2 linked regions of the Canis lupus familiaris genome follow. The protein of the gene in region 1 binds, or shares a complex with, the protein of each later gene. Links are inferred from orthologs where the notes say so. Each region holds a gene or a part of one and is shown on either strand. Other genes may lie near its edges.

Evidence for each region.
Region 2: GTF2E2 (region 1) and POLR2G share a complex: the UniProt entries of both Homo sapiens proteins name them as parts of the TBP-based Pol II pre-initiation complex. The link is inferred for Canis lupus familiaris from reciprocal best matches to the Homo sapiens genes GTF2E2 and POLR2G.

What each region holds. Positions count from the first base shown.
Region 1 is NC_049237.1:34,514,843-34,519,175, reverse strand, and holds the start of GTF2E2 (transcription initiation factor IIE subunit beta), read right to left. Parts: upstream 2,869-4,333; 5' UTR 2,688-2,868; intron 2,185-2,687; exon of another isoform or gene 2,163-2,184; intron 1-2,162. UniProt on the Homo sapiens protein: Recruits TFIIH to the initiation complex and stimulates the RNA polymerase II C-terminal domain kinase and DNA-dependent ATPase activities of TFIIH. Both TFIIH and TFIIE are required for promoter clearance by RNA polymerase.
Region 2 is NC_049239.1:54,436,276-54,440,533, forward strand, and holds the start of POLR2G (DNA-directed RNA polymerase II subunit RPB7), read right to left. Parts: upstream 3,096-4,258; 5' UTR 2,894-3,095; coding exon 2,882-2,893; intron 2,763-2,881; coding exon 2,653-2,762; intron 1,698-2,652; coding exon 1,538-1,697; intron 805-1,537; coding exon 754-804; intron 659-753; coding exon 593-658; intron 497-592; coding exon 425-496; intron 228-424; coding exon 194-227; intron 1-193. UniProt on the Homo sapiens protein: Core component of RNA polymerase II (Pol II), a DNA-dependent RNA polymerase which synthesizes mRNA precursors and many functional non-coding RNAs using the four ribonucleoside triphosphates as substrates.

The sequences.
Region 1 (4,333 bases):
AAAGAAAAAAGTTCCCCTCTTGTTTGAACTCTCCCAGAATATGTGGAAAGTCTAGGAAGCACAACAAGCTGACCATGTAAATGATTTTTGCATTCTTCACAAGCAGGGAAGGAAGGTCTGGGAGGAAAAAGATCCTATCTTTGCTCTTGTTTTGTTTTGCTTCTAAGTAGGTTCCCTGCACTGTGTGGAGCCCAACATGGGGTTTGAACTCACCCACCCTGAGATCAAGACCAGAGCTGAGCTCAAGTCAGACACTTAACCAACTGAGCCACCCGGGGGGCCCCTATCTGAACTTTGAAAGCCTTCATGCAGAGAATAGCTCAATATTTGTTAAATGAATAACGAACACAAAAACATCTTTAAGTGGCTTTAGCCTTGTTACAGGTTTCACAAATCTTTATTAAATGTCTTGTGTTTGTGACTCTAAGCTTTGTATAGTTGTCTTGTGTTCATGTACTCCAGGTTTTGAAGAATTCGAGAAGATAAACCCTTGCCTTCAAGCAGCTTACATTTGAAAAATCTGAAAGAACTGAGCATCTTGCTTAAAAAGAAATGAATAGGGAACCCTGGGTGGCGCAGCGGTTTAGCGCCTGCCTTTGGCCCGGGGCGCGATCCTGGACACCCGGGATCGAATCCCACGTCGGGCTCCCGGTGCATGGAGCCTGCTTCTCCCTCTGCCTGTGTCTCTGCCTCTCTCTCTCTCTCTCTCTGTGTGACTATCATAAATAAATAAAAATCTAAAAAAAATTTAAAAAAAAAAAAAAAAAAGAAATGAATAAGGGCGGCCCGGGTGGCTCAGCAGTTTAGCGAAGCCTTCAAGCCCAGGGCGTGATCCTGGAGACCAGGGATCGAGTCCCCCATGGGCTCCCTGCATGGAGCCTGCTTCTCCCTCTGCCTGTGTCTCTGCCCACACCCCCTCTGTCTCTCATTAATAAATGAATAAAATCTTTTAAAAAATGAATAAAATATGACTCAGAGTGCTAAAAGTCAAAAATATAAGCACTGATAAAAAAAAAATAATCAGAGTAAACTTGAATGAGTAAGAGCCACTGGCACTGTTATCAAAGACCTGACTTCTGGAATCCTCAGTACTAATCTGTAACTGCAACATGACCTAGGCAATCCATAGACCTCACTAAATCCAATTTTATTATAAACAAAATGAAGATACTGTCAATGCTATCTCCATCTAGCCCAACTTTAAAATGAGACAATATTTGTGAAAAGCAATTTTCTGAGTAATAAAGCTATATACAAATGTTACCTCACTGCTACTATTCTGAGTTGGATCTGAAAAGAAAAAATAACAGGAGGATTATGCTAGGGTATTGGAAAGATAGCAGACGTGGGGGGAGGGTAAGTGTGTGGGGGGGTAGAAATCACAAGTGATTAAATGGGGGCAACACACCTAAAACAGGAAACATCTGTAGCTGTTTAAGTCATCGTGTTAAGACAGGTAATCAAACCAGGCTTTTAACCATGATTTTAACACAGGCTTAAACAAAAGCCTTACAATTTACAAAAACCTAAATGCTTACAGCATTTGAGCCTCACAACTCTCTGAAATGATAGGTATTAGTTTTATTCCTTATTTTAATACGTGAAATCTGAAGTGAGGAGGGACCCTTAGGGTCACACAGCTGTTAAGTACCTAGGTCAGGACACGAATACTCGGCCTCCTCAATCAAAAGCTTCCTTACTCCAGACCTGAAATGCTGGTCAAGGCCTCTAATAAAACAAAGGCGACCTGTGCGATACCGGTAACGTTCAATGGCACCCAGGAGCAGAAGGCTGAAGGTCTCCCTCTCTCTCTCTCTCTCCCACCATCGCATGCTCCGCTTAACTTTTCCACCTCTTTTTTCAGACTACTCAGAAATCTGCAGTTTCACATATACTGACCTACGCAGGAGACCTATGCCCATTTCCCACTTAAAAAAAAAAAAAAAAAAAAATCATCACAACTCAGGGAGTTCACGTGTTCTTCCATGGTCACTGAGCAGCCAAAAATTAAATCAAAATCTAGCTCCAGAGCACACGTTCTTCCCCCTCTACCATTCGCCTTTTATTTTTCAACCTTTCTACTTCTCCTTTGCTTCCTTCTCTGCATAAGCCCAAGAACATTGCCAGGAACAGCCGGCAAGGTAGGAAACGACACCGCTTACCTCCTAAATCTCAGGACCGGGGAGATGGACGAAAAGGTACACCCCAGTGTTTGGATTTGGAGCAGGTCTTAAGACTTTGCAGACATCGACTATAATAACTAAAGTTCGGGAATCAGTACAAACCGAGTCTCCAAAACGCGGCTTAAAAAAAAATAATAAAAAAAAAAAAGAGCCCTCGGAGGTGCATCTAAATCACCGCCTTTAGCTGGACCCCGTGGTTCCCTCAACTCCACACACGTCCCGCTCAGTTACGGCTCCTGTGAGGTCGGGGGCCAGGAAGAGAGGCAGTCAGCATCCTGACGGCGAATTTCCCCCTTTCCAACCCAAAAGTTTGCTCAGTGGACCTCCGGCCTAAAAGACAATGCGCCCCAGAAGTTGGTACTGTTTGGCGTTTCGCGCAGAGAACCGCAGACCCCGCGTCCCCGAGAGACCGACGGAAGACAGGCTCGCCCCGCAGGAGGAGGCGCTCCCGAGGAACCACAGGCCGGGGCTCCGCTCCCCACACCCGGCGGCCGCGGCCCCTACCTGAGCGAGGAGGGCCGCCCCACGCGACCGGCCGCCGCCTCCCAGCGCCTCCACCTCCACCAGCCGCCCACGCCCGCGTGGCCGCCGCTCCCTGCTCCTCGTCAGCAGCGCCCCCGCCTGCCCGCACGCACGCCCAGCGCAGCCCCGCCAGGTCGGGGTCTCGGCACTGGCGGCGGCGGCGGCGGCTGAGGCGGCGCGACTCGGCCGGGAACTCCGCCCGCCACTTCCTGATCAGGCTACGAGGAGCTCCGTCCCGGCAGGCACCGCGGCGCCCCCGCCCGCGAGAACGCGCGTGCGCCGTCACGTGCCCCGCCCGGGGTCCCGCGGGAGGGGAGTCGGCCGGCAGGGGCGTCCCGGATTTCCATGACAACGGCGGGCGGGCGGGCGGGCGGGAAAGGGGGGAGGCGGAGAATGAGGCTTACGTAGGAAGAGGAGCGGTTGCTAAAATGGAACACAAAAATCTGTCCTTTCCCTGGGTGGCTCAGCGGTTTGGTGCCGCCTTCGGCCCAGGGCGTGATCCTGGAGACCTGGGATCGAGTCCCACGTCGGGCTCCCCGCGTGGAACCTGCTTCTGCCTCTGTCTCTGCCTCTCTTTGTGTCTCTCATCAATAAATAAATAAAATCTTTAAAAGAAACAGAAGTCGGGTGAAGCGCCATGACCTGCTCAAGACGGCACAGCGCGCAACCAGTTACGGGCGTGGAGCCCAGCTTAAATCCCCAACCACCACACCTGTGAACCCCCTTAGACGAGGATTTAGACTTAAAAGGCAGCATGAAGAGATAGGAGTAATGAATGAATGCTACGAAACAGATAACTGGCGTGGCCCACCGCCTGCAGGGTATTGGAGGGTGTCATATTTCCTGCGGCTGTCCTTTCTCTTACTACCGGAGGTGGCAGCAAAGCCAGTGCTCAACGCTGTTATTTAATTACTTAGTGCTGGTTGGTCAAGTTACTTAACCTGTGCTTCGGTTTTTGCATTTGAGAAATGGGAATAATTGTACTACCAAAATAAGGTACTTGCATTGGGCTGTTGTGCAGATTAGATGAAATAATAAATTTTTATTCAAAACTTGGAAATAAGCCAAAAGAAAAAAAAGCCAAAAGATAACTGATGTGTGGCTTTTTTTTTTTTTTTTTGATGTGTACCTTTTTGAAATTAGTTTCATTCTGGAGGATTTCCTAATAAACTCACTTGATGTTCATGTGACACCTTCAGGAAATGTAACTTTGCTGGAATATTTACAACCCGGTAAAGTCAGAAATTGGTTAAAAAAAAAAAAAAAACTGATGAAGTGTAATGGGGAGAAGGGGCAGGCAGCAAATGAAAAATACTAACCCAAAAGTTAAAATTACCCTGTCCTGAGAAATAGGAGCCAGTTTTGTATCAATTTATTCCCTAGCATTGATGCTCTCTGCTCCCTTAGAGCCTTTCCCCAGACTTCTTAGGTAGCCTACCCAATTCTGTAAATATCTTTCCAGGACCCTGCTTCCTTCTCAGGCATTCATCCCATAAAGAAAAAAAGGTCTTTTTTCCCCTCTATCCATGTTAAGTTCTCCCAATAATTAGACTAACAAAAGAGACCATAACAAAAGAAAGACAAGTTTATTAGTGACCAGCACACATACACTTGGGAGATGAGTGATT
Region 2 (4,258 bases), on another chromosome or scaffold:
CCAGTTAGGCTCAGGCTCGGGGCAGCCATCACCATGCACTTCCCATCTCATGAGGCACAGGTCCCGATCTTCCAAGCAGACAGTCATAAGAGTTTCTTTCATCTGTGACTCGAGCATTAAGTCCCACATCCACCCCCTGCCTCCACACACCCCTTTCTAGGCAACAACCCTGGACACACGATCAGGCACTCACCCAAGTAATCGTCCATCAGAGAGCCAATAGCAAACTGCAGGAGGGAAGGCAGAAAGGAAACAGAGCCTAAGCAAGCATAGAACTAACTTCTAGCCCAGCCCCAGGCCTTCTGCTCACCCATCCCCTCTTCCTGGCAGAAGAAAACAAAACCCCCAGGAACCCTGCATGGTAAGAAAATCAACAGCTGCCAGCTCTGCCTGGTACAGGTAAGAAGGTAGGCAAGAGACTCACAATGTCATTCTTGTCCACACGGGTCCCCACAATCTTCAAGCGGATCTCATCATCCTGCTGAATCACAATGTCCTGAGGAAGAGTAAACAGGATACTCAGATACCTACAAGCCAAAATTTCTTGGAGGGCTCATTCTTCGTCCTTCTCATGGACTTCTTCCCCACTCACCTCATCCATTGTCTTATAACATGGTGGGTTGGAGTTGGGGTCAAACTCCATCTCTGATGGGATGGACTGAAAGGAAAGCAAGACAGAGCTTTACAGGAGTGCTTCCAGAGAGAGTCATGACTGGCTTCTCTCCTTAGCACCCCCAGCACGCCCAGACTTACATGTCGAGAAATGAAGCAGGACATTGGTCCAATTTCTGTGAAAAGTCCAACCTAAGAGGACAATGGGGGACTTTGTTTTTCTTTTTAAATTTTTATTTATTTGAGAGAGAGAGAGAGCAAACGTGTATAGACAGTGAAAGGGAGAAGTAGATTCCTGCTGAGCAGGGAGCTGGCTGCGGGGCTCCATCCCAGGATCATGACCTGAGCCGAAGGCGGCTGCTTAACCGACTGAGCCACCCAGGCAGGCACCTCGACTTTGCTTTTTCTTTTATCCTCAAATTCACCTAAGCTTCCCAACTTTATCTAATTCCTAATAATATTCTTCATATTTTGAATCCACTCTGAATTGTATCATTTGCTTTCATGTCTCTTCTGCTGAGATTTCATTTCAAGTTACGCAAATACAGTGCACTAAAGAGCCAAGGCCTGGCACTTGTCGGTCCACAATCTGACCACCTGTTGATCACATGACCTTGGCCATTAGACAACTTCTAACTTCTCCAGGCGTAAGCTTCTATAAAAATGGATAAAAGCATGACCTTAGTCACCGTTAGGTTTTGGACCTTACCCAACCCATAATAAGTATTCAATGAATGGAGACTACTATTGCTGACAACTCATACTGACTTACAGGACCCCAAGGGAGGTTTCTGCACCATTTGACAGGTGTAGAAACTGAAGCAAAAGTGACTTACCCAAGGACACAGAGTTAGCAAGAGCAGTTGGGACCCATCCCCCATCTTCTGAGCAGCCACCCAACTGCCTCCACTATGTATGGACTCACCTTGTTGACTTGAGTGACAACAGCATCCACGACCTCCCCTTTAAAGGGCCGGAAAACAATGGCCTTGTACTTAACTGGATAAAGGACAAACCCTCGGCCTGGCTGGATCACACCAGCACCAATATTGTCAATGGTGGTGACAGCAATTACAAAGCCATACCTGTAAGGAGGATGAAAAAAAGAAAGGCATCGTGTGTGCAAGAGCCTCTAAAATCATCTACAACAAAAAAAAAACAAAAAAATAAAAAATAAAAAAAAATAAAATCATCTACAACAAATCAGTGATGATGGGGGTCAGGGGACGGCACAAAGGGAAATAGATGGCACCCCTGCCCACAGAACTTCATGTTGGGAGAAGAATACAGATCAGTATCTATAACTTTTTTTTTAATTTTTATTTATTTATGATAGTCACACACACAGAGAGAGAGAGAGAGAGGCAGAGACACAGGCAGAGGGAGAAGCAGGCTCCATGCACCGGGAGCCCGACGTGGGATTCGATCCCGGGTCTCCAGGACCGCGCCCTGGGCCAAAGGCAGGCGCCAAACTGCTGCGCCACCCAGGGATCCCCGATCAGTATCTATAATGCCAAACACTGCTCTCATGTTTCACAATAAATGTCCAAGGAGACTGCAGTCCTTAAGCCAAGAGACTTCAATCTTGAGGATGCCTCAGAATCACCTAAGAGGAACTTCTTAAAACACAGATTCCCAGAGATCCCTGGGTGGCTCAGCGGTTTAGCGCCTGCCTTCGGCTCAGGGTGTGATCTCGGAATCCCGGGATCGAGTCTTACATCAGGCTCCCTGCATGGAGCCTGCTTCTCCCTCTGCCTGTGTCTCTGTCTCTGCCTCTCTCTCTATCATGAATAAATAAATAAAATCTTAAAAAAAAAAAAAAAAAGTCTGCGGAGTAAACGAATGACCAGTCTCTGCTGAAGTAAGTCTCGCGATCCAGAGGGCACCTCGGGAACCCAGGCCGGAAGCAAGTGACTGCCTCGGGTGCCTGAGAGGGTGAGAGGGTTCCCCGGGGCAGGGGGCAGGTGGCAGGTGCTTGCAGGATGAGTAGGAGTTGGGTAGAGGCTGCAGATCAGGCGGCGCGAAGCACTCGGGACTCACTTGCCGGTGCAGGTCCCCTCCACCTCGGTGAAGAGCTTCTGCTTGACCGTGTTGAGCAGGTTGGGGCCGAAATAGCGCGGGTGCAGCAGGATCTCGTGCTCCAGGGAGATCTGCGGGGAAAGCGGCATGGAGACCAAGCAAGGACGAGGAACAGCATCTCCTCGTCCCGGAGCCCCGCTTCGCTCCTCCTCTTAACCCTGCCCTCGCGGCCACCCCGTGCTCCGCGTACGTGATAGAACATCCTCCCAGCCGGGACCGGACAGCAGCCAAACCCAAACTGCCTCGGTGGTAGCCGCGGTTCTCACGCAACCGGAAACACGCACCGCCCCCGGAACCCTGCTTCCGGGCCTGTCCCCGCCAAGTGGGCGGGACTCCGCTCCCTTCGCGGACCCAATTGGTCATCGCTGTCGTGGGCGGGAAATCGGTGAGGCCCCGCCCTTCCGGCCCAGGTCCTCTGCGGCGCAAATGCTGGCTCTTCTAAATGAACAGTTTCCTGGCCTAGGAGGGATGCGCGATATACTGTTAAACGGAATTAATTAGCTAATAAAAGACAACGTGAATACAGTGCTTTAGCAGAACGCATTCGTGTGGCAAATATTTGAAGGCTGCCTTCACATAGTAAGCATCGTAAGGAGCTGTCTTTATCTCATTTCATGTACATAGCAACACCACTAGGCAAGCTTTACAAATGAGGGACCAGGCTCAGAGAGTTGAGGTCACTTGAGGGTCACGATTCAAATGTGCAGTGTCTGACCTCCAAGACCCTTGCGTATTTGGACATTCCAGATTTTCATGCAGTCATTTGTTCAATAAAATGGAGCACCCCACTCCTTGCTGCAGGTAGTTAGGAGATGAAGCAGCCAAAATCAGAGCCCAGGAGTCAGTCCTCCCTCCGGTGTGAGAAACCAAGTCACTGCACTCCTCTTTCCCGTTTCCCCCCAACCCGCTGACACACACGCATGGGGGGCTTAGAGAATTGATTGGTTTGTTCCCTCAACTCTGCCCACTTTTTTGTAGACAGTCGCTTTGCTAAACTCCCCTCAATTAACCGGAGTGATAATGCAATCTATTCCCTGTTGAGACTGACTGATAAAAGGGCCATGCAGAAAGAGGCAGAAACCATGAGACAGACCCATGAGTAAGGCTCAGCCAGGGCAGCTGGTTCTAGAGCCGGACAATCCTTTTTTCTTTTTTTTTTTAAGAGCCGGACAATCCTTAAGGCTTTGAGCAAACTCCCAGTTGCCTGAGTAAGGTTTTTATGGTGGTTTTTTTTTTTTTTTTATGTTGTAAATAAAAGATCCTGACCCACCCTACAGCAAGAACAGACACTTCACGTCTGCTTCCTCAGAACTGTCACATACCAGTTCGTATGGACACTGTCCATTTCCTGGAATAGTTGATCCCACCAGTCTGCCACTAAAACTCCATGGGGATCCCTTTTGAAGGATCAGGCAAGGAGATCCCTGGGTGGCTCAGCGGTTTGGCCCCTGCTGGGGGCGCCCAGGGCGAGTTCCTGGAGTCCCAGGATGGAGTCCCACATCGGGCTTCCTGCGTGGAGCCTGCTTCTCTCTCTCTGCCCCTCTCTCTCTCTGTGTCTTTCATGAAT